4 linked regions of the Drosophila melanogaster genome follow. The protein of the gene in region 1 interacts with the protein of each later gene in a pairwise test. Each region holds a gene or a part of one and is shown in the gene's direction. Other genes may lie near its edges. The genes, in order: PIG-S, Prosbeta2, Pdh and CG10472.

Evidence for each region.
Region 2: the proteins of PIG-S (region 1) and Prosbeta2 interact in a two-hybrid assay, tested with the Drosophila melanogaster proteins (one large-scale study listed by BioGRID).
Region 3: the proteins of PIG-S (region 1) and Pdh interact in a two-hybrid assay, tested with the Drosophila melanogaster proteins (one large-scale study listed by BioGRID).
Region 4: the proteins of PIG-S (region 1) and CG10472 interact in a two-hybrid assay, tested with the Drosophila melanogaster proteins (one large-scale study listed by BioGRID).

Annotation. Positions count from the first base shown.
Region 1 is NT_033777.3:24,912,418-24,919,916, reverse strand, and holds PIG-S (phosphatidylinositol glycan anchor biosynthesis class S), read left to right. Parts: upstream 1-2,052; 5' UTR 2,053-2,153; coding exon 2,154-2,208; intron 2,209-2,407; coding exon of another isoform or gene 2,408-3,963; exon of another isoform or gene 3,964-4,077; intron 4,078-4,181; coding exon 4,182-4,272; intron 4,273-4,330; coding exon 4,331-4,470; intron 4,471-4,526; coding exon 4,527-4,724; intron 4,725-4,785; exon of another isoform or gene 4,786-4,857; intron 4,858-5,011; exon of another isoform or gene 5,012-5,083; intron 5,084-5,216; coding exon 5,217-5,411; intron 5,412-5,472; coding exon 5,473-6,090; intron 6,091-6,231; exon of another isoform or gene 6,232-6,335; coding exon 6,336-6,649; 3' UTR 6,650-6,701; downstream 6,702-7,499. Other genes in the region: CG11168 (uncharacterized protein), read right to left, coding at 334-1,100, 1,162-1,265; sud1 (sudestada1), read left to right, coding at 2,154-2,208, 2,408-3,963.
Region 2 is NT_037436.4:14,997,720-15,001,819, forward strand, and holds Prosbeta2 (proteasome beta2 subunit), read left to right. Parts: upstream 1-2,231; 5' UTR 2,232-2,348; coding exon 2,349-2,410; intron 2,411-2,480; coding exon 2,481-2,660; intron 2,661-2,925; coding exon 2,926-3,502; 3' UTR 3,503-3,600; downstream 3,601-4,100. Other genes in the region: mRpL39 (mitochondrial ribosomal protein L39), read right to left, coding at 340-399, 461-903, 1,077-1,177, 1,242-1,566, 1,818-1,890.
Region 3 is NT_037436.4:16,352,420-16,356,560, reverse strand, and holds Pdh (photoreceptor dehydrogenase), read left to right. Parts: upstream 1-2,263; 5' UTR 2,264-2,279; coding exon 2,280-2,423; intron 2,424-2,479; coding exon 2,480-2,881; exon of another isoform or gene 2,882-2,945; coding exon 2,946-3,236; 3' UTR 3,237-3,328; downstream 3,329-4,141. Other genes in the region: ringer (ringmaker), read left to right, coding at 532-927, 1,194-1,376; Tcs3 (Threonyl-carbamoyl synthesis 3), read right to left, coding at 3,348-3,590, 3,646-4,141.
Region 4 is NT_037436.4:6,060,449-6,065,108, reverse strand, and holds CG10472 (uncharacterized protein), read left to right. Parts: upstream 1-2,198; 5' UTR 2,199-2,215; coding exon 2,216-2,675; intron 2,676-2,736; coding exon 2,737-2,835; intron 2,836-3,377; coding exon 3,378-3,691; 3' UTR 3,692-3,730; downstream 3,731-4,660. Other genes in the region: CG6592 (uncharacterized protein), read right to left, coding at 3,731-4,362, 4,421-4,596, 4,655-4,660.

The DNA of each region.
Region 1 (7,499 bases):
AGATCGTGGGCGTTAGTGGTTTGGAGGCACTATTAAAGATTCAAATAATAAAGCCTGTTGAAATCGTTATCAATTATTTACTGTCTGCGCTTACTCACATAACTTCAAGAATATATTTACAGCTTTATATTAGCAATAAAATAATTTCGATCTTATTTGGTTGCCTTCAATAAATAGGGTGTAACATTTATTACAAATAGAGTAAATAAATGTTTTGAATTACAAAGCTTTATGAAGAGCTGTATTAACTTTAGATATCAGTAAAGATAAGCATTTCCAGCCACTACCCATAGCCCCTTTATTGTATTTCTTCTACTTCTTACTCGTACGCACCGTTTATGGCGCCCACAATGTCGTAGGTCACATGCGGCGGATAATCGGAGAGTATGTCCAGGGCTGTGCGTCCGTTTCCATCGGTGGCGTGTACGTAGATACCGGCCTTAAGCAGAGTGACCACAACGGACTTTTTGCCACAGAGAGCCGCCTCGTGGAGAGCGCTTCCAGCGTTGGTGAGTATGTTGACATCGACGCCGGCCGCCAGCAGTGTTTCCACCACCTTCTTGTGCCCATTCCTGCTGGCCAGGTGCAGGCAGGTGTGCGTGAATATGTGCTTTATGGGCATGCAGCCCAGCAGCTCTTCATTGTCATCTTCCAAACGCTTATACGGCAATATGAGGTCGGGATAAACACGGAGCAAGGTCTGAACCACCTGAAGGCGTCCGAATTGCGCTGCCAAATCCAGAGCCGTTTGAAAGCTATTGTTGCGTATGGCAGGATCGGCGCCATAGGACAGCAAAATGGCCACCACGGCATTGTGGCCATGTTGGGCGCCTGAGTGCAGCGGCGTCTCGTTTTCGATAGTCTGGGCATTCGGATTGGCTCCCGTAGGCGAGTGCATCAACAGCATCTTGACGATGTCCTGGTGCCCAGCCCAGGCAGCCAGAAATAAAGGTGTCGAGCCACGTATATCAGGCACATCCAACAGCGCGTTGTGGGAGAGTAGTAGCCGTACAATGTTGCTATGCCCATTTAGACAGGCGTGATGCAGCGAAGTGTAGCCATTCATGTCCTGGCAGTTGATGCTGGGACTTCGCCTAAAACTGTAAAGGAAAACCTGTAGTAAACTACCTGGAATAACAACAGTTGCTGCTGGTGACTCACCTGGACAGCGGGCCATGTCGTTTGCTCGAGTGCTCCAGCAGTTTGTCCACCGTCTTGATGTCGCCGGCTCGCGAAGCCTCCAGCAAATGCTGATCCTTGCCCATTGCTCCTCCGTATCCTCCAACACTAGGTAGCTACACAGGAGCAGAAGAACACATGTCAAGTTGTTTAGTTTAGCTTTTGCTCCGATTCCAACACAATGAGATCATCGCGAGCATACAGAATACCACAGCCCCAGCCCCACTCACACCCCCAACAAATCAGGTGGCAGCCAGGCGGAATCAGCTGTTTGGCCCTAGCACGCACAGACTGATAGCCAAATATTTTTTTTATACAAAATAGCTGTGAACATTCCACAATAGTATTTTTGTTTATAATATGGAGGGCTGAATGGTGGCTCCGCCTCTTCCAAGGTCATTCCACGGCATTGGACTGCTCCAATTGGAATTTCTTTGTCACCAGCTAGGTTTTATCTTCAAGTTTTAATTTACCGGCTATGTCCACGTCCGTTTCGAAAGTTTACAGCCATAAACGAATAACTATATTTGCCACCGCGATAAGCAATCAACAAAGCTGTGATCTAAACTTTATTTACGTGGAGCCGATCGAGCAATTGTTCGTTACTAATTGGCTAGGGATGGAGGCGTGAGGCGACGACGAAACACACGACACTCACGTACAATCAGTGATGATCAGTATAAAATGAAAGTGTGATTAGTGAGTTGAATGCTAATGCTGAATGCCTTCAATATATTATTATATTATATATTATTACTTATATACGCCCTTTATTGTTTACAATATAATGCCAAAAGTTTTTAGCTACTAAACTTTAGCTAGGTATTTGATACTGCGTGGAATAAGCTAACTACCCAACACTTGCACAGAACAACCGATATTTCCGAGCTACCATCTCTAGCTGCACAAGCCAATTTTTTTATTTTCCCTGGCAAAAATTCACGTTTTTAACCGAAAATTTGACTCACAGCATCATGGAAACCTCGAGCTCCAGTCCAGTAAAGCCCAGGAGAAAAGACAAGGACGAAGGTAAGTGGAAACAGTGAGAAATCTGCCCCAAAACGATAAAGCGAGGTGTGCCGGCACATCGGTGCCTTTGATTTTGCCTTTGCCTTTGATAACGCGTGTGTGAGTGCTGGTGTGCGTAAAAAATAGCCAAATTAAAGTTTAAGGTATGCCCCTGTTTGCCTCGCTTAATGCAAACCCATTCACTATGTTGCCCTTGCAGATGGTCGTGCAGAGCAGGAGGATTCCGCAGATCAGGTGGGCGAGCCGCACAGGAAGCTTTTGCGCCTGGGCGACATCCTTGAAACGAACGAAGTGCTCCTGAACGAGGCGTATCAGCAACCGGAACTTACCAAGTGGCTCCAAACAGCCTGGACGGAGGAGAAGAGCCAAGGGACCAAGGAGACGCAAACCGGTGCTCAGGTCTTCTCGGATCCCTTTCAAATCTGCCTTCTGCCCGGCATGCTGGAGAAGGGCCAAAGCCAGGCGCTGGTCGCCGAGATCATCCAGAAGGTGCAGTGGTCGCGCAAACAGATGGATTTGTATGAGTTCTACCAGAGCGCCGACCTCTCCAACATGCCCGCTTGCCGACTGTTGACCAACTTCCTGCAGGTGCTGCGCAAACAAGTGCGTCCCTGGCTGGAGAAGGTTACCAACCTCAAGCTGGACTATGTGTCCGCCTCCTGCAGCATGTACACCTGCGGCGACTATCTGCTCGTGCACGACGATCTGCTTAAGGACCGACAAGTGGCCTTCATTTACTATCTATCGCCTTGGGAAGGAGCGGAGGAATGGACGGATGAGCAGGGCGGATGCCTAGAGATCTTCGGTAGCGACGATCAGTGCTTTCCACAGTTTCCAGTGCAGCGAAAGATCGCCCCCAAAGACAACCAGTTTGCCTTCTTCAAGGTGGGCTCGCGCTCCTTCCACCAAGTAGGCGAGGTTACTACATTCGACTACCCGCGTCTTACCATAAACGGATGGTTCCACGGCGATACCAATGAGGCCTTCGTGGCCGACTCCCTGCGCGCCTTTCCCCGCCTGAATTACCTGCAACCTGATGGCCTTAATAGGCCACCGCTTGGCCTGTTTCTAAACAACGTGTATCTAAAGGGGGCCACCCGCCGGAGCATCCAAAAGCGGATCGAAGAAAACTCCGAGATTTGTTTATACGAGTTCTTCAAGCGAGAGAAATTCGAATTGGCCCGGTCGCAGCTGTTGGCCGATTCGGATACCTTGAAGTGGCGAAGACAGGGACCCGCAAACGCACACAACTATGAAGTGCTGGATTTGACAACAGCCAGAGGCACCATACTGGAACTACTGCAACTGTTCCGTAGCCACGCCATGTTTGATTTGCTGCGAGATTTCACCGATCTGGATTTGGCAGGCACCGATGCCGAAAGTCCAACATGCAGCGTGGAACTGCAGCGCTGGTCCCACGGCAACTACACAGTGCTGGGCGACGGTTTGACCAGCGAGGAGAACACTTTGGACCTGGTTTACTACCTGAACGCGGCAGAAGGAGCAGCGGTGATCACATACCTCGCACCCGACGCCGAAATGCCAACAGCAAAAGCACCGACGGACGGAAGGCGATCGGACTACGATGACGAGGAAGAGGACGATTCCGTTCTGCTTACTATCACGCCGGTGGACAACGCCCTGAACATAGTATACCGGTGCGAGGGCACCACCAAGTTCACCAAATACGTGTCGCGCAACACGCCCCTTGAAAAGGGACCTGTTTTTGTTATTTCGTGCAGCTACAAGGAGTAGCATGTGATCCTGTTTCACAACATGCGCACAATTACTCGTCAAGGACTATTAACATTCATACCGTTCTCCTGTACAGAAACTAATTTACATAATAAACTTTATAAAACACAAATCAAAATATTATAGTTTTTTGTCGAAGTAATAAAGTGTGAACCCAAAGAACGCTTACGACCGCGATAAATCAGGAACTAATCAAACACTTCTCTTTAACTTTACAGATAAGTTCCGGATCGGGGCTACACTAGCATTTATCGTGGTCATCATTGGAATTGGCGTGCCCATGTGGTGGCGCACCACCACAGTCTACAGGTGAGTCAACCATGTCTGGCGGCGTTTTTCCAATTATACCTAAATGTTGCAATCGCAGAGTCAATTTGCCCTCGACGGAAATTTTGAGTCTGAGTAAAATTCCGATCAAAACGGCTGTGCAGGTGGCCATCTACACACAACAGACCAGTCGTGGCCAGTTGCTCATCGCCGAACTGCAGAACGCCTTCAGCGACAATGGTAGGTGCAAATTCATTATCCATTCATATTTCTAAACGGCATGCATTTCCCATTAGAAATATGGTCTGTGGAATTCAAGCAGCTATCTCCTACGCCAATGACCCAGGAAGCACACACGCCAGCTGCTCTGGAGAAGCTGTTGCTGGAGAACCATGTCCAGAGCGTTGGCGACTTCATGTTCATCGAGTGGCCCAAACTGCAGGAGGAGCTGCTACTAACCACCGAAAGATCGGCACTGATGCGAAGTGATACACGTGAGTCTATTGCAATGATACGGAAACACTTGTTGGCTTTTTATGTCCGAAGTTTTTAAGGTCCTCGATAGTATAGTGGTTAGTATCCCCGCCTGTCACGCGGGAGACCGGGGTTCAATTCCCCGTCTGGGAGAAATGAGATTTTCATTTTTTTTTTTTTTTCAAATCTTTTATTGTCTGTTACTTCACCTTCTATTATTGAAATAATTCTAAAAGTAGAAGTATAGCGCATAATTTATTATTTACATGATAATGCGGTTTTAAAAAGAAATATATATTTTATCGGTCTCCCCGACGGGGAATTGAACCCCGGTCTCCCGCGTGACAGGCGGGGATACTAACCACTATACTATCGAGGATTACGAATGCTTTCGAATACTTTTAATGCCCAATGAAACCCTTTCCTTAAAATTTCAAGGACTAAGCTAAAATTACTCTAGTAAATTAAAGATTAGTTAGCTAAACTAATAATGCTGTTTTAACACCTCCTAGCTTCCAACAAAATCGCCCAGCTCCTGCACGCCAAGATCCTGCAGACGTATCGCATAAATCAAATTTTAAGTACCGATGAGCGGATGGGCGCCAAGTCGGAAGCTCCGCAACCAGCCTACGATGTGATTGTCTCTGTCCTGAATCCGAAACCGAGACTCACCCATGCCAAGTGGAACATAGCAATGGCTGTGAAGAGTAAGTATTGAAAAACCACAAAAAGTCTTCACTTACTTATGCCAATTTACATTTTCAATAGCTTACATTGAGCCCTGGTTGGCTAAGGTGTCCGGTGTTTCCAATTACACGGTGCGATCGCAGTGGAAGTACCGGGTGGCCATCGAGGCTGATCTCAAGCAGGTGCGCGACCAGAGCAAATTGGGGCGACACTACGCCCTCCAGGAAACCGCTCTGCCTCATCTGCTGACATCGATTGCCCAGAATCTAAGCGCCAGCACCACCGACAAGCCGGCCATCAACCTGGTGGTGTACATTCCACCGTGCCACATCGCTCCGCTTCACATCTACAACAGCAAGGATCAGCGGCTGACGCGGAACGACGTGGATGCCTTCATTTCGCCACCCTGGGGTGGCTTCATCATTGCTAATCCGCCAGAGCATGTGTGCCTTGCGGCCATGAGCGATCAGGAGGCAGTTCCCTACCATGTCAGCACCACGGACAACATGCAGGTGATGCTGGACCAGCTGCACAAGCTGCTCGACATCAGCAGTGAGCTTCAGATGGAGGGCGTTAAGGTGGTGGATATCGAGCAACTGGAGCCACGTCGCTGGGAGTATGAAGCATACCTAAGACGCAGTGCCATTCGACACATATCCACAGCAAGCAGCACGCTCCAGAGCCTCATCAAACTGTTGGGTACGTTTTTAAAGATACCAATGAAGGATGTTTAGTCAACATTTTTATTATTCCTATTTCTGATATTATACAAAACTCAGGGCTCTTCGACAATTAAAAATGAACTATTTGCAATTTCCGCTTTATAATTAAGTAGCTTTTAAAATGGTTGACGCTATTTTTATTGAATCTGTACTGCTTGAGAAGTTTAATAACCACCTTAATTGGACAATATTATTTAATAATCGCTTCCTCCTCTCGTTTAGATCAAATCAGCTACATTGTGATAGACGACGAGGTGGGTGCCGCCATTACAAATTCCTATGCCGACATCTTGGCTGCCAAGGCTGCTCTTTTGGAGCACCGACTGGCGGACGCTTCGGTGCTGGCCAAGCGTGCGTTCGTGGCCTCGGAGCGCGGATTCTTTGACGCCAGCCTGCTGGCGCAGTTGTACTTCCCGGACGAGCAGAAGTACGCCATCTACATTCCACTCTTCTTGCCCATCATGGTGCCTGTACTGAGTTCCTTCAACATGCTGCGTGGTGTGCTGCAGGCCAGACGGAAGGAGAAGCAGTCGTAAACGAACCATAACCAAATAGTATCATCCCTCATTAAAACAATATTTTCTTTATAAGCTGTTACTGGTGCGATTTATTGGTTCACTTCGGTTTTACGTAGAACATGTCATCGTCAGGGCCTCGCGGTCGATTAGATTTGCCAGTTCTATAGTATTCCAGCATATTCAAACTGTAGACTGCCGCGCATAACAAGTAGGTAGAAATTATTCGTGCCAACATTTTGGTCTATGAGATCTTAAAGAAACCTGGTGGAAATGGATTTAAAACTCAAAAATTTTGATCTGTCATAGAGAGTTGAATGCTTTGAAAACAAGTCCACGTGCCACTAATCTTTCCCAAAGTTTTCAACGTTGGGAGTGCTGTATTTTGATGCCTTGGCTGCTGGCGGACCAGCACGGTCCGCTCAGCGTGTGAACGGCGCGTATAGGTCAGGTTCAGCGGCGAGATCGCTGCCGGATGAATGTCAGACGTGGCAGGAGGCCAGCCAGACACGCAGTCGGTGGGTGAGTCATATATTGCCAATAAGTCTTGTTTCCGACTGATTTCAAAATATCACTTACCGATTATAATTACTTGCTTAAAGGAATGCTTATTCTATTAGCTCATCATTTTCATTAGTTAGTGATCAATAGGTAGAATTTAATGGTTTTTCTGTTTACCTCCTTAAATTTATTGTTAATTTGAAAGTATGTAGAGTTGGAATTTTTTTTAACAGTTTCTCACAAATATTTGGAATTTGTGGGTATTCTTGAATGTGAGGTATATCTTTTTAAACTAGACAAAGCCATCGCAATTGCATGCCATTGCAAATGCGCAGATGAAGGCAAACGAAAAAGCTACAAAAATGCGGCT
Region 2 (4,100 bases), on another chromosome or scaffold:
GTTTTTAAAGAGACAATTAAAATAAAAGAACTGTGAGCAAAAAAGAGAAACCCTAGCATTGGCAATTAAAAGAATATAGAATCATTAAATCGTAAAATAAGACCAAAGTGTTCTTTTATATAAATTCTGCCTTACGAATGCTAAATCTATAAATAATAAGAGCTATCCAGAATTTCATTCCATAAGATAATTAGCTTGTAAGTTAAAATGGTAAAAGCAGAATTTTGTTTGCTCATATCCTTTTAAAGACGGATTTTCTTTGTTATAACAAATTAGGACGCTCTTTAATGATTTACTTTTTTAACACTTACAGTATAGTTTTAAATATTAAAGAACGTTTTAAGATAATTGCAGTTGTTGTTGTTCCTCAAATGGTTCATTGGGCAGTCGTGCGGGGCTCTAAAATGTGTTTTAAATTTGTGACACAGCTCTTTATCGAAAAACGTCGAGATATACTCACAGGTTTCTTAGAACGCTCCTCCAATACACCAAATGCAACATGATTCAGTTGGAAGCCAGACGGCAGTGCAACGCCCTGAATGCGATAGAAAGCACCAGAGGGACCCTCCTCCGCAACTTTGTGGGCAGCCGAGATGACGCATTTCCCCAAAAAGCTGGTAGACGCCACCATTGGACCGCGTGAGATGTCGATATGATCACCCAGGCGATACAAGGTGACCCTTCCATTGGTCTGCTGCGAGATGCTGGGCAACTGTTCGCTCTTATACTTGGAATCCTTGAACATCTCCTGGGCCAGATCCTGTTGGACGTCCAAACGCTCGATGCGCAGATCCTGAGCAGCCAGTTTAACCATCTCTGCCGAAAGGGCGCGCATCTCTTCTTTTCCTGGCTCCCAGTTCTGGGTTTGGAGCACAATGTCGTGTACGAAGCTACCTGATTTGACTGTGAAATGTAATAGGAGTAATTTTATAATTTGTCTCGCTTATAGAATATTCCAGACAGTATTAGTTTTAAGATATATATCTATGAAATTTTCATCCAATTAAAAGGGGGAAAGACGAAACCTAGTAAAAAAAATATCCTAATCTTAAATCCTAAAAAGTGATTCTGCTTACTATTGGGTCCAGGAAAGCTGTGGAGCTGAAGATTGGCCTCCGGCTTGAAAGCGCGGTTCAAGGCGGCTCCCAACATAAAGCTGCAAGTGCGCCAGAATGCTCTAAAAGTAAACAACATAAGCAAGTTTAATATAAATGCCATATTATAAATAGTATAGCACTCACTTGTTGACCACATGTGGCTCGGAAACATGGAAGTTAAGCAGCTGCAGAGTACAGGATTCCTGCAAGGGTCTGTGCATATCCCAGGGAACACTGCCGTCGATCAAGGCCAGTGCCGATCGCTTACAGTGCCCCTCACTCAGATGCTGGGCGCAATTGAAGGGCGTTGAGATGTTGCCGTTCATCACCAGAGTGACATCCTCGGGAAGTCCCAGATACCGCACCTCGATCTTATCGATTCGACCCACTGCATCCCGTTGACGGCGCTGCTCCTGGTTGAACAGGTCATTCCGCTTGGCTAACGATGCAGAACTGCCACTAAAGTTGGCTGTAGGGATAATTAATAAGTTAAAAGACATATTTTATAGTACAGTTTCAACAAATTGAATTTAAATTATGGTTGACTATCTAAAATAATAACTGGGATCTATAGAAATTCTAGCGATTTTTCCGCCAAGACATCAACGAACTGCCATCACTAGCCGAAGAGCTCCGCGGAACGTGAATGACTGCCGGCATTATGTAAACCACTTCCTCCATCTTTGGTCAATAAAAGGACTCCTAATTAGTGTTACTTACCCTTAGTTCTGTATTGTTGAAGCTGCCGCAGGGCGCACCAGCTTGTTTTATGTAATTTGGTGGCCGCAGACATGGTAAATTACCAAAATACTCTTCAGGGATGCAGTTCACAAAAGTGATGGTACTATGCCAAGATGGTCAGGTGGAAACAGTATATCGATATTTTTCAAACATGACTATTCGCTTACAAAAGATAAGGGGCCTTCCTAAGCACTTATTGCATGTATACTGCGGGGAATATTTCCAAACATTAAAAAGTTTTAAAATTATACAATGCAACATTAAAATATTAAAATAATACAACATTGAATAATTTAAGTTACATAAGTCAAATTATTAATAACGTCAAATTATTAATAATTTATTTCTTCAATACTATCGCTCTAGTTGAGTCCATGAATATATATCGATACAATATCGATTGTACTTCCAGCTCTAGCAAGCATTTAACAATTTTGTTTGTCATCGCGCTCGGCAGAATTAAAACCTTAGTTTTCCTTGCTAATATAGTTGAATTGAAGAATATATATAATGGATTTGGATAACGCACGCGATCTGCCCCGCGCTGGTTTCAATTTCGACAACTGCAAGCGGTAAGAATCGTCCAAGTTGTTCAGCAATACCCCATCGGCTTTTATTAATTGGTGTTTTATTTGCTTTCAGCAATGCAACTCTTTTGAATCGAGGCTTCAAGCCACCGACCACCACCAAGACGGGAACCACAATCGTTGGCATCATCTACAAGGATGGTGTTATTCTGGGCGCCGATACGCGAGCCACCGAGGGACCCATTGTCTCGGACAAGAACTGCGCCAAGATCCATTACCTGGCCAAAAACATATAGTAAGTCCACCGACGGTATGCGCCTTTAAGTGCACAGGGAACCTAATAATACTATAAGAGGGATTACGGTATTTTTTCCTGCATTTCAAATGTGGGCCTATTTCCTTGTCCTCGCCGGCTTAGATCAATTTGTCTCCAATTTTAAGGGGCCCGTGTTTTAAGTTGAGGATCTTAGGGTGTAGCTTATGTTGCTCTAACTTAAAAATATGTGTACTTTCTAACATGCAAGTATCTCCCAATACCTAACGAAAATATTTACCTTCAGCTGCTGTGGAGCTGGAACCGCTGCGGACACTGAGATGACTACGGATCTCATCTCCTCCCAGCTGGAGCTGCATCGCTTGCAGACAGATCGTGAGGTGCGCGTTGTGGCCGCCAATACGATGTTGAAGCAGATGCTTTTCCGCTACCAGGGTCATATCAGTGCCGCTCTGGTGCTTGGTGGAGTGGATAAGACTGGACCCCACATCTATTCCATTCACCCACATGGAAGTTCGGATAAGCTGCCGTACGCCACCATGGGATCGGGTTCCCTGGCCGCCATGACCGTTTTCGAAAGTCGCTGGAAACCTGACTTGTCCGAAGAGGAGGGCAAGAAACTGGTGCGCGATGCCATCGCCTCCGGAGTGTTTAACGATCTGGGTTCGGGATCCAACATCGATCTGTGTGTTATCCGCAAGGGCAGTGTTGAGTATCTGCGCAACTATGAGCTGGCTAACAAGAAGGGCAAGCGCCAGTTGGACTACCGCTTCAAGACCGGAACCTCAACCGTGCTGCACACCAACATTAAGGACCTACTCGTCACCGAACGCGTCCAGGCGGTGCCCATGGAGATTTCTTAAAGCGATTCCCCTTTCTACCCTTTTCGTACATTTATTATAATAAAGCTTCGGCAGGATCTATATGGAGTGGTTCAATAAAGGAAGCCATGCTTCATCTTAAGTTGCTGTGTTTTTTTCTGGGGTTTTTATTAGACTAGCGATACTCCTAGGCGGACAATGCTTTGGTCATTAACGAACTCCTAGCCAGGGACCAAAAAATAATTATATTACAATGTTTTCCAAATTTAAGAATGTTTCCACATGGTTAGGGCACAGTGTCGAGTTTTGGTCCATCAATCTCTTTGTACTTTTACGATCCAGATTTTAAATAATTATTTTAAATTTAAATATTACCATGGAGCAATGATTTGAATTATTAAATACATTTAAATTAGGTAAAACAAAAAGGGGGTTTTGGTGATTTACGGACCCTGGCATAAATTAAATAATAACTATAAAAGAACATTAAAGCTTAAGAATTAATTTAGCTAATATCACATGGTACAGAGGGTCAATTCCTTACAGTTGAAGGCACTTTCCATCTCCTTAGAATAACGGGTTAATTGGCACCAAGAATTCACTTGATTGAGTCAGATCATACACACTCCTTCTAGGACTA
Region 3 (4,141 bases), on another chromosome or scaffold:
TTGAGTCTCTCCCAATTTGCCTTTAGATTTCCATCTCTCGAAATCTAGCTGAGAGAGCTTTGGCCTAGCTTTGGGTGGGTATAGCTTTGCCTTTGTCCAGTTCAGCATGGGTTGTGATATCATTGCGAAAGCGAAGTGAGTAAAGTACTGATAAGGTGTTCGCAAAGATACGTCTGGGAATAGCACCTACATATGTAGATAGTTGACAGTGACGGACAAGACCCACCGCAATGTTGGTGAGCGTTGTGGCCCACAGGTGAGGAACTGCGTAGGTGACAACCGTAGTCAACCGATTACGCAGGAGCGGAAAAGTTGCGTGTTGGAAGAAACCACTACAAAATGTTAAACAAAACAATGACCTATCAGGCTAGGCATATTATTAATAATAAATGATCCTCAGTCCATCTGTAAAATTGAAGGTTCTTTGTCCGTAGTTGTTTATTTATTACTGGGCATCTATTAAAACACCTGTAGGGTTCAGTAAAGGTTAAAAAAATATATATAATATTAAATATATTTTTCAGATCCACCATGTCCGAGGTAGCTGCAGCAAATGGAAGCCCCTCCCCAGCGCCAACTCCTGAGGTGCCCGCTACCGAGTTGGCCCAATTGGCGCTGGAGGATGAGCCCAAGGTTAGCTTTTCGGATCAGTTCAAGGCCTTCTCCAAGTTCGGGGACTCCAAGTCCGATGGCAAGCTGATAACGCTGTCGCAGAGTGACAAGTGGATGAAACAGGCCAAAGTTATCGACAAGAAGATCACCACCACGGATACAGGCATCCACTTCAAGAAGTTCAAGGCCATGAAGATCTCGCTCAGCGACTACAACAAATTCCTGGACGATCTGGCCAAGACGAAAAAGGTGGAGCTGTCGGAGATCAAGCAAAAGTTGGCCAGTTGTGGAGCTCCAGGAGTTGTGTCCGTTTCGGTGGGTTTGATAAATTGGTTGTGAAAAATATGATCTATATAAGTCAAATGATTAAGATTGATTTTAAAGTGTAAAGAACTTCGAGAAGACCATTTAGATATGACAAAATTTAAATGATTTTTTTTTGACTCATTTAAACTATCAATTGTTAAAGTAGTTTTCTTACAGAAGTTCTTAAAAAATATCTTTTTAAACCTTTGAAAGTCATAACCATATACTTTATGCCTTTATTGAAAACCTAATCAACATTTTGTTACCATTTTTAGGCTGGAAAAGCCGCAGCTGCCGTGGATCGATTGACGGATACGAGCAAGTACACCGGTTCCCACAAGGAGCGTTTCGATGCCTCCGGAAAGGGCAAGGGTATCGCGGGCAGACGGAACGTGGTCGATGGATCCGGATATGTGAGTGGCTACCAGCACAAGGACACCTACGACAATGCCCACTAGATGGGGTAACCACCGTTTTTCACCCTCTCATAAATCTGTATTTCTAACTTTTGTGTTTCCCTAGTTAATGTCTCCCAATCTAATTTATCTTTGTGTATATAATAAGTTTGTGATAATTTAAGTGCTTACAAATAAACTTATATTTTTGATTATAATTTTTGAGTTCCTTTACTTTGTTTATCCTTCTTTGTCCTTTGATACGTAAAATTTTGAAGCGGCCCAAAAAGAGTTCAAAAGTAAATCCAAATCAAATTTATATACATTTCATGGCAATCAAACCCATGTTTGGTAGTCTTAAGATAACAGATAAACTTTTAATATTACAATTTGTGAAAGAAATTTAAATATCACATATGGAAACCAAAGATATACGACATACATATGTAGATATATGTTATGTTTTCACAAGAATTTTGCTTGAATAAATACACTTTAAAATATTTGCATTGCTAAAATTTGTATTGGGAGGAAATACAATTTAAAAAACCAAAATTTTAAAGCAATTAAGATGGTTTTGTAAATCGAAATATACATTTAATTGTAAGATCTTTGAAAAATGCCCAACATGTGTACCTTCTTAAAAGCAAAGATTTCACTGGAAGATAGTTATTAAGAGATCATTGCTTTATCTACACAATGACATTATCACTGATGCAAAGCTGACATCGAAAAACCGGAGCGGTGTGAAGCAGACTGAACGCTACAGCGACCAGATGGGGATGGAAATTGATATATGGGCATAAGTTGCATAATCCTAACCCAGAGCAGGTGGAAAACTAGCTATTGATTGCAGTCGAACCAAAGTCACTCAACGATATATCATATAGCCCTTGGGAAATAGGTATAAAAGCGGCGAACATTACAGCTCCAAGTCAGCAGTGCAACTGAGGAGCTCAGTGCTTGATGAAGCCACAAGGAATACCACCGACTACTACACGAATCAGCCAGACCAAGATGTCCTTTCGCGGCAAGAATGCAGTGGTGACCGGTGGAGCTGGAGGCATTGGACTGCAGGTGTCCAAGCAGCTCCTGGCCGCTGGAGCAGCGGTTGGTTGTTTTACACATAATTACGTGAAGTAATTTCTAAAGCGAGTGCTTCCTAGAAGGTGGCCATCATTGATTTGCAGGATAATCTGGAGGAGTTTGTAAAACTTAGGGCCGCTCATCCCACCCAAAGCGTAATGATCATCAAGATGGATGTGGCGAACAAGAAGGGTGTGGAAGCCACCTATGAGGAGATAGCCAAGACCTTCGGTAACATCGATATTGTGGTCAATGTAGCCGGGATTTTTAACGACAAGGATGTGCAGAGGACTCTGTTGGTAAATCTCGGTGGAATCATCAATTCCACACTGAGTGCATTGCCCTACATGGGCAAGGATAATGGCGGCAAGGGTGGCATTGTGGTTAACATGAGCTCGGTGGTGGGTCTGGATCCAATGTTCATCATTCCCGTTTACGGAGCCACCAAGGCTGGCATCATCAACTTCACCCGGTGCTTGGCGGTAACAAGAATTTCTTACATATCTTTTGAATTAGGTTTTTCATTTAAGTCTCTTTCTTAATTAGAACGAAAAGTACTATCAACGCTCGGGCATCAAGTTTGTGACTGTTTGTCCTGGAGCTACAATGACGGACATGTTCACCAACTTTACGGAGAAGATCATCTTCCCGGAAACGAGTGACGAGACCTATAGGATCCTGGATAGGCTAAACAAGCAGAGTGCCGCTGATGTCTCTCGATGCATTCTGAATGTCCTGGAGAAGGACAAGAACGGAGCTGTCTATGTCATCGAGGGTAAGCGCGTTTACCCTTTGGAAATTAAGCCCCAGTGGACGGGCAAGGAACAGGCCCTTTAAGTGGGTTAATTCGTTCACATCCTAAACACATGCATTTTACAAATATGAAGTTATTATGGACACTAGTTATTTAATAAACAAACGATGCACAGAAATAAGTTCTTGTGGTGATTAGTCATCCCGCCAGCTGACCAGCACTTCGTCCGTTCGAAATCGCTGAGTCACATAAGATTCCTCAAAGGGCATCCTAGTGCCAGAGCGGAACATTTCTGCACCAGCATGGGCAATCATTAGTCCGTTGTCTATGCAGTAACGTTCATCAGTGGCAAAGAGTTTGCCTCCGCGTTCCTCGCACATAATACGCATCATCTCCTGGAGTCGCTCATTGCAACCCACACCTCCAACTATAAGGACCTGAAAAGAAGTCGGTTAACTCATAGATTAATTTCGGAAAACTGTTGCAACCAACCTCATTTGAGCCGCAGTGTGCCATGGCGCGCTCTGTGATCTCCACCAACATGGCGAAGATGGTCTCCTGCAGCGAATAGCAAAGATCGGCTTGGCTGTAATTATTGACCTCTTCTTCCTGTGGCTTTTTTCTCTTATTTTGCCTCTTGCCCGGCTCTGCCAGGTCCTCGATGTAGGATAAAATCCCCGAGAAGCTGACATCCATGCCCTTAACCACATAGGGCAGTTTAATATAACGATTGCTCGACTTGGCCAGCTGCTCGATGTTGTAGCCCGGACTAGGATCGTTGGACAGCTTAATGATGCGGGCGAATCGATCCAGGCAATTGCCCACTGCAATGTCTATAGTTTCGCCAAAGATGCGATATCGCTTATTGGAGTAGGCAATAACCTGTGTGTTTCCACCGCTCACATAGAGAACTGTAGGATTCTGGGCACCGGTGATCAGGCGACCCATCTCGATGTGTCCAATGCAGTGATTTACGCCCAGCAGCGGG
Region 4 (4,660 bases), on another chromosome or scaffold:
GATTAGATAAACATTCTTCCTATGTCGAGAAAACTCCTTGTGATTTTAATCAAACGAATTTCACATAAGTGCGAAAAATTCTTCAAACTCATAACATTTTCCAGTAAAAGTATTTTCTTATTTACGATTGTAACTTATCTTATTTATTATCGTCTTCGTCTTATTAGGACTACTTGTTCCTCCTTCCTAAACTGGCAATCATCATTATTCCTTTTCGAGACACACTTTTGAAAGATTTACACATCAAATTAATTTTGAACGCGTTCGATTTGAATTCTGCATATGATTGTTGTGTTTCTGTGTAAGAGTGCGTGCATGCAATTAGACGGATACATATATTTCATTCAGAGCTTAACTGTTAAATTAATATTTGGATGTGTTTATGCCTTTTTATCTTATTTATTTACAAATTTCGTGTTTTCAATTTAAGATATTTAAGATGTTACACACCGGGGGCGGCGGCGCATGTATGCATTTTTATTAATTATGAAGTCGCACCCATATCAAATAATTTCGCTTCTCATTACAACTGCACTCGAAAATATTGTTCTCTTGACCGCTGCTGCTTTAAACCAGTTTAATCCCGCCTTATAAATTACATTATTATTATACACTTGCTAAGTGTATGTAACATAAATAAGATTAGACATTTGCCATGCATTTGAATTAAGATATTTTTATCATGTGGGGATATGTGGATCATCAATGAAATTGGATCAACAGCCGTTGAAGTTCAGCGGTTTCAGAGTTTGATGATTTAAATTTAATCATAGTTTTGTTTGTTCACACTAGATATACATCGTAAAGTTATTCTCCTCTGATGGTTGGACTTTATGAACATCCTAGTGTATTTAAGTGTTCGACCCTCTGAAACGAGCTTCACACCCAGTTTGATTTGGATTCAGTTGGCTATGTGTTTTTTGTTACAGTTTAAAAGTTTGCTACGCATTTAATGTTTTAATTAGCTCTGCTGTGGTGGGCCTGCTTCAAGGACTTTTGCCATTTATTATTGCCAATTTGCTAAATGTATCTATCAACGATTGTTGCGAAGCTAATAGAACGGCTATGTTTTAGATTTATAACGAGATAGTGTCATATGGGTAATTCGGTTTTATGTGTGCCTGCCTACCTGGGCACTTGACAGGTGTCGTTTGAGCTGTATAATTTTTAGAAAGCTGTGCTAATTAAATGGGTAAATCTGTCCTTCTATGGGAAACGGTACGGGGGTTCTCTGTGGCTCTTCTCTGTGAACTTGTGGCCAGTTAGACTTCGTCTCGGCCAGATTATTGTGACTGACGGCTTTTGTTTGGGCCCGCTCAACTTTAAGACGACCTTCAATTGAGCAAACAAAAATTGTTGCATTAAATCCATTTCCGTTTTGATTCATGTCTCGCTTAGTTCTCCGCTTTTGTTTCAGCTGTTTTGTTTTTTTACTTATTTTATTTCCATTTGATTCCATAAGTATCATGCTTTAATTAAGTTTGGAAGTTGTTTTGAAAATACCGAACCTTTTAATTGAATTGAGGGAAGTGCATCGGCTGTTATGACATCATAATGAGTCGGCAGGAAGTTCACACGTACGATCGGACTGTTTACTCATATCATAGGCACATCGCAGTTTAAACTGGTAGAATTATGAATGTGGGCACTATGGGTTATGCAATTAAATCACAAAACCCCTTTGCTAATCGATGTCGGCGGTTTTGCTATCGCCGCCAATACAAGTGTTACAGATAAGCTCTAGCAAAGATAATACAATTACATTATCAAAAGAATATAACATTCCAAAGGTGATTTGCTTTGTTCTAGTAAAATATTCTATTTAAGAAATTATTATTATAAGTCTTAGGTCAACATAATACTAGTTTCAGAAAACCTTTAATATACCATCGTTAAATGGTTAATTACCTTTGGTTTGTCATCACTGCAATAGATAAGCCTACTACGAACTGATTAATCTGCTCATGATTGGGTTTTATTGCCAATATAGGCCAAATCGATTCACACTTCTTGGTTTGCTTGCCCTGCTTATCACTTGGAATATCGGTAGCATCGGCTCTATCAGTAGTGGCAAATAGACGATTATAAATCACCTCGGTTAACTACAGCCGGGTTAATTCACCAAAGATTATCAATGAATTACGATACCCACGCTCCTTTTAAAATCCGTATAAAAGTGCCCGAGTTCTTGGCCAACACTTTAGTTGTGATCAAAATGAAATTCGCCTGCGCTACGGTTCTGCTCTTGGCCACCATTCTTGGGGCCCAGGCTGTGGACTGGAATTCGGTCAAGAACCTGAACATCGAGACCCCGATGCCCAAGGTCCATGGCGAGACCCTGCCCAGCGGTAGGATTACTGGAGGACAGATTGCCGAGCCCAACCAGTTCCCCTACCAGGTGGGACTACTGCTGTACATCACTGGAGGAGCTGCCTGGTGCGGAGGCACCATCATCAGTGACCGCTGGATCATCACCGCCGCCCATTGCACGGACAGCCTGACCACCGGAGTGGATGTCTACCTGGGCGCCCACGATCGCACCAACGCCAAGGAGGAGGGACAGCAGATCATCTTCGTGGAGACAAAGAATGTGATCGTGCACGAGGATTGGATCGCCGAGACCATCACCAACGACATTTCCCTGATCAAGTTGCCAGTGCCCATTGAGTTCAACAGTGAGTGCTTCGTTACTGGTTTTTATAGCAGAAATTCTCAATTATCTAATATACATTACAGAGTACATCCAGCCCGCTAAGCTGCCCGTGAAATCCGACAGCTACAGCACCTACGGCGGAGAGAATGCCATTGCCTCCGGATGGGGCAAGATCAGCGACTGTAAGTGACCCTTACACCCTTGAACTACAATTTTATAACTACTAGAGAAAGTTAAGCTCTTTTAACGTAACCAGCAAGTTTAGCACTCGAAAAATATGTAGTGAGAGTTAGGTTAGAGAGTTAGTTTAGGTCGTAGAATAGAGGCGAATGTATCTATCCTAACACTAAATATTAAATACTAAATACTAAGTAAAAGAAACCAAAATTATTCTAGAAAGTGACTAAAATTATCAGAAAATTCTATTTTTGGTATTTCGTTAATGCAATTTACGATCGAAAAAACCCAATTTCACGCTTTATTTTACCTTTGGATTAAAAGGCCACTTAAAATTTATTATCAAAATTCGATTTTTATGGACTCTTTTCTGCTTTTGTTGTTATTTCGCAACATTGTTTTTACACTTTATTTATAATCCTTTGTTAGTTTAGTATTCTATTATTAATTTTTTAATGAGTTTTTAATCTTCAAAAATGTTTTTAATCGTAGTTCCTATAAATATCTTAGAACTGTTCTAAACTATATTTCCTTACTTTCCACACAGCTGCTACCGGAGCGACCGACATTTTGCAGTACGCTACGGTTCCCATCATGAACAACAGCGGCTGCTCTCCCTGGTACTTCGGTCTGGTTGCCGCCAGCAACATTTGCATCAAGACCACCGGCGGAATTTCCACCTGCAACGGCGACTCCGGCGGTCCTTTGGTCCTGGATGACGGCAGCAACACCCTGATTGGAGCCACCTCCTTCGGCATTGCTCTCGGCTGCGAGGTGGGATGGCCCGGTGTCTTCACCCGTATCACCTACTACCTGGACTGGATCGAAGAGAAGAGTGGTGTGGTCAACAACGGCGACTAAGCGTTGATTTTGATCTTAAAATAAACGTTTATTTTTGGGTTACAAGAAATAGAACTCGTGTTCGGAATGCGGGCGTGACCGTGTTCGCGGTCTGACATTCTCGGAGATGTCCTCATCGGAAGCGGGTCTCGGATGCACATCTAGTTCGTCGGGCACATCGTCTTCCAACTGCTCCTCCGTTTCCAAGCGTCGGCTTTGACGTGGTTTCCCATATTCCCTCACATACTGGTCGAAAAATATTGCCTCCGTGGTATCCTGGTGGGCACTTACACCAGTTTCATCGCTGATCCAATCCAAATATGAGGCAACTTTGGTGAAGGCCGCCGGATAGCCTCGATCACAACCGTATATGCTGCCAAAGGATGTAATTCCCACCAGGACTCTCTTCTTCGAGTGCCTCCTTTGGAGAACCAAAGGTCCTCCCGAATCACCATTGCAAGTTGAACGGGCATTCCTTCCACTGGTGCATATATTTGTACCTCGATAGGATAGCGGGAAGTTGGATTTGCAAGTCCGTCCATCGATTATCTGCAGCTGGACGTAGCGCAGCACATTGCTGATCGCATGGACTCCGGTGGCATAACGACCCCAACCAGATGCGATGGCCAGTTTGTTTTTAAAACTGCGGTACTCGTAGTGCCTCTTCGGCAATTGAATGGGATGGATGCGCTCTAAAATTATGTATATTTCAGAGATAGGTAGTTCACTTTGTTAAGGACCAGAACTCACCATTAAAGCTGACGGCATGAGGGAGTCTTACTATAGCAATGTCATCCTTTAATCTCTTTGGATTCCAGGTAGGGTAGATTTGGAAGTTTTCGCTTGGCACCATCAGTCGAACTTGTCCCTTCTCCTTGGCGTTCTTGATCTCATTGGCGCCCAAGAAAACCAAGGCCCTCTTCGCCCTGCAAAATGTAGAACCTTAAGATGATTGGATCGTTAGTATTTCTTCTGGTCACTTACATGTCA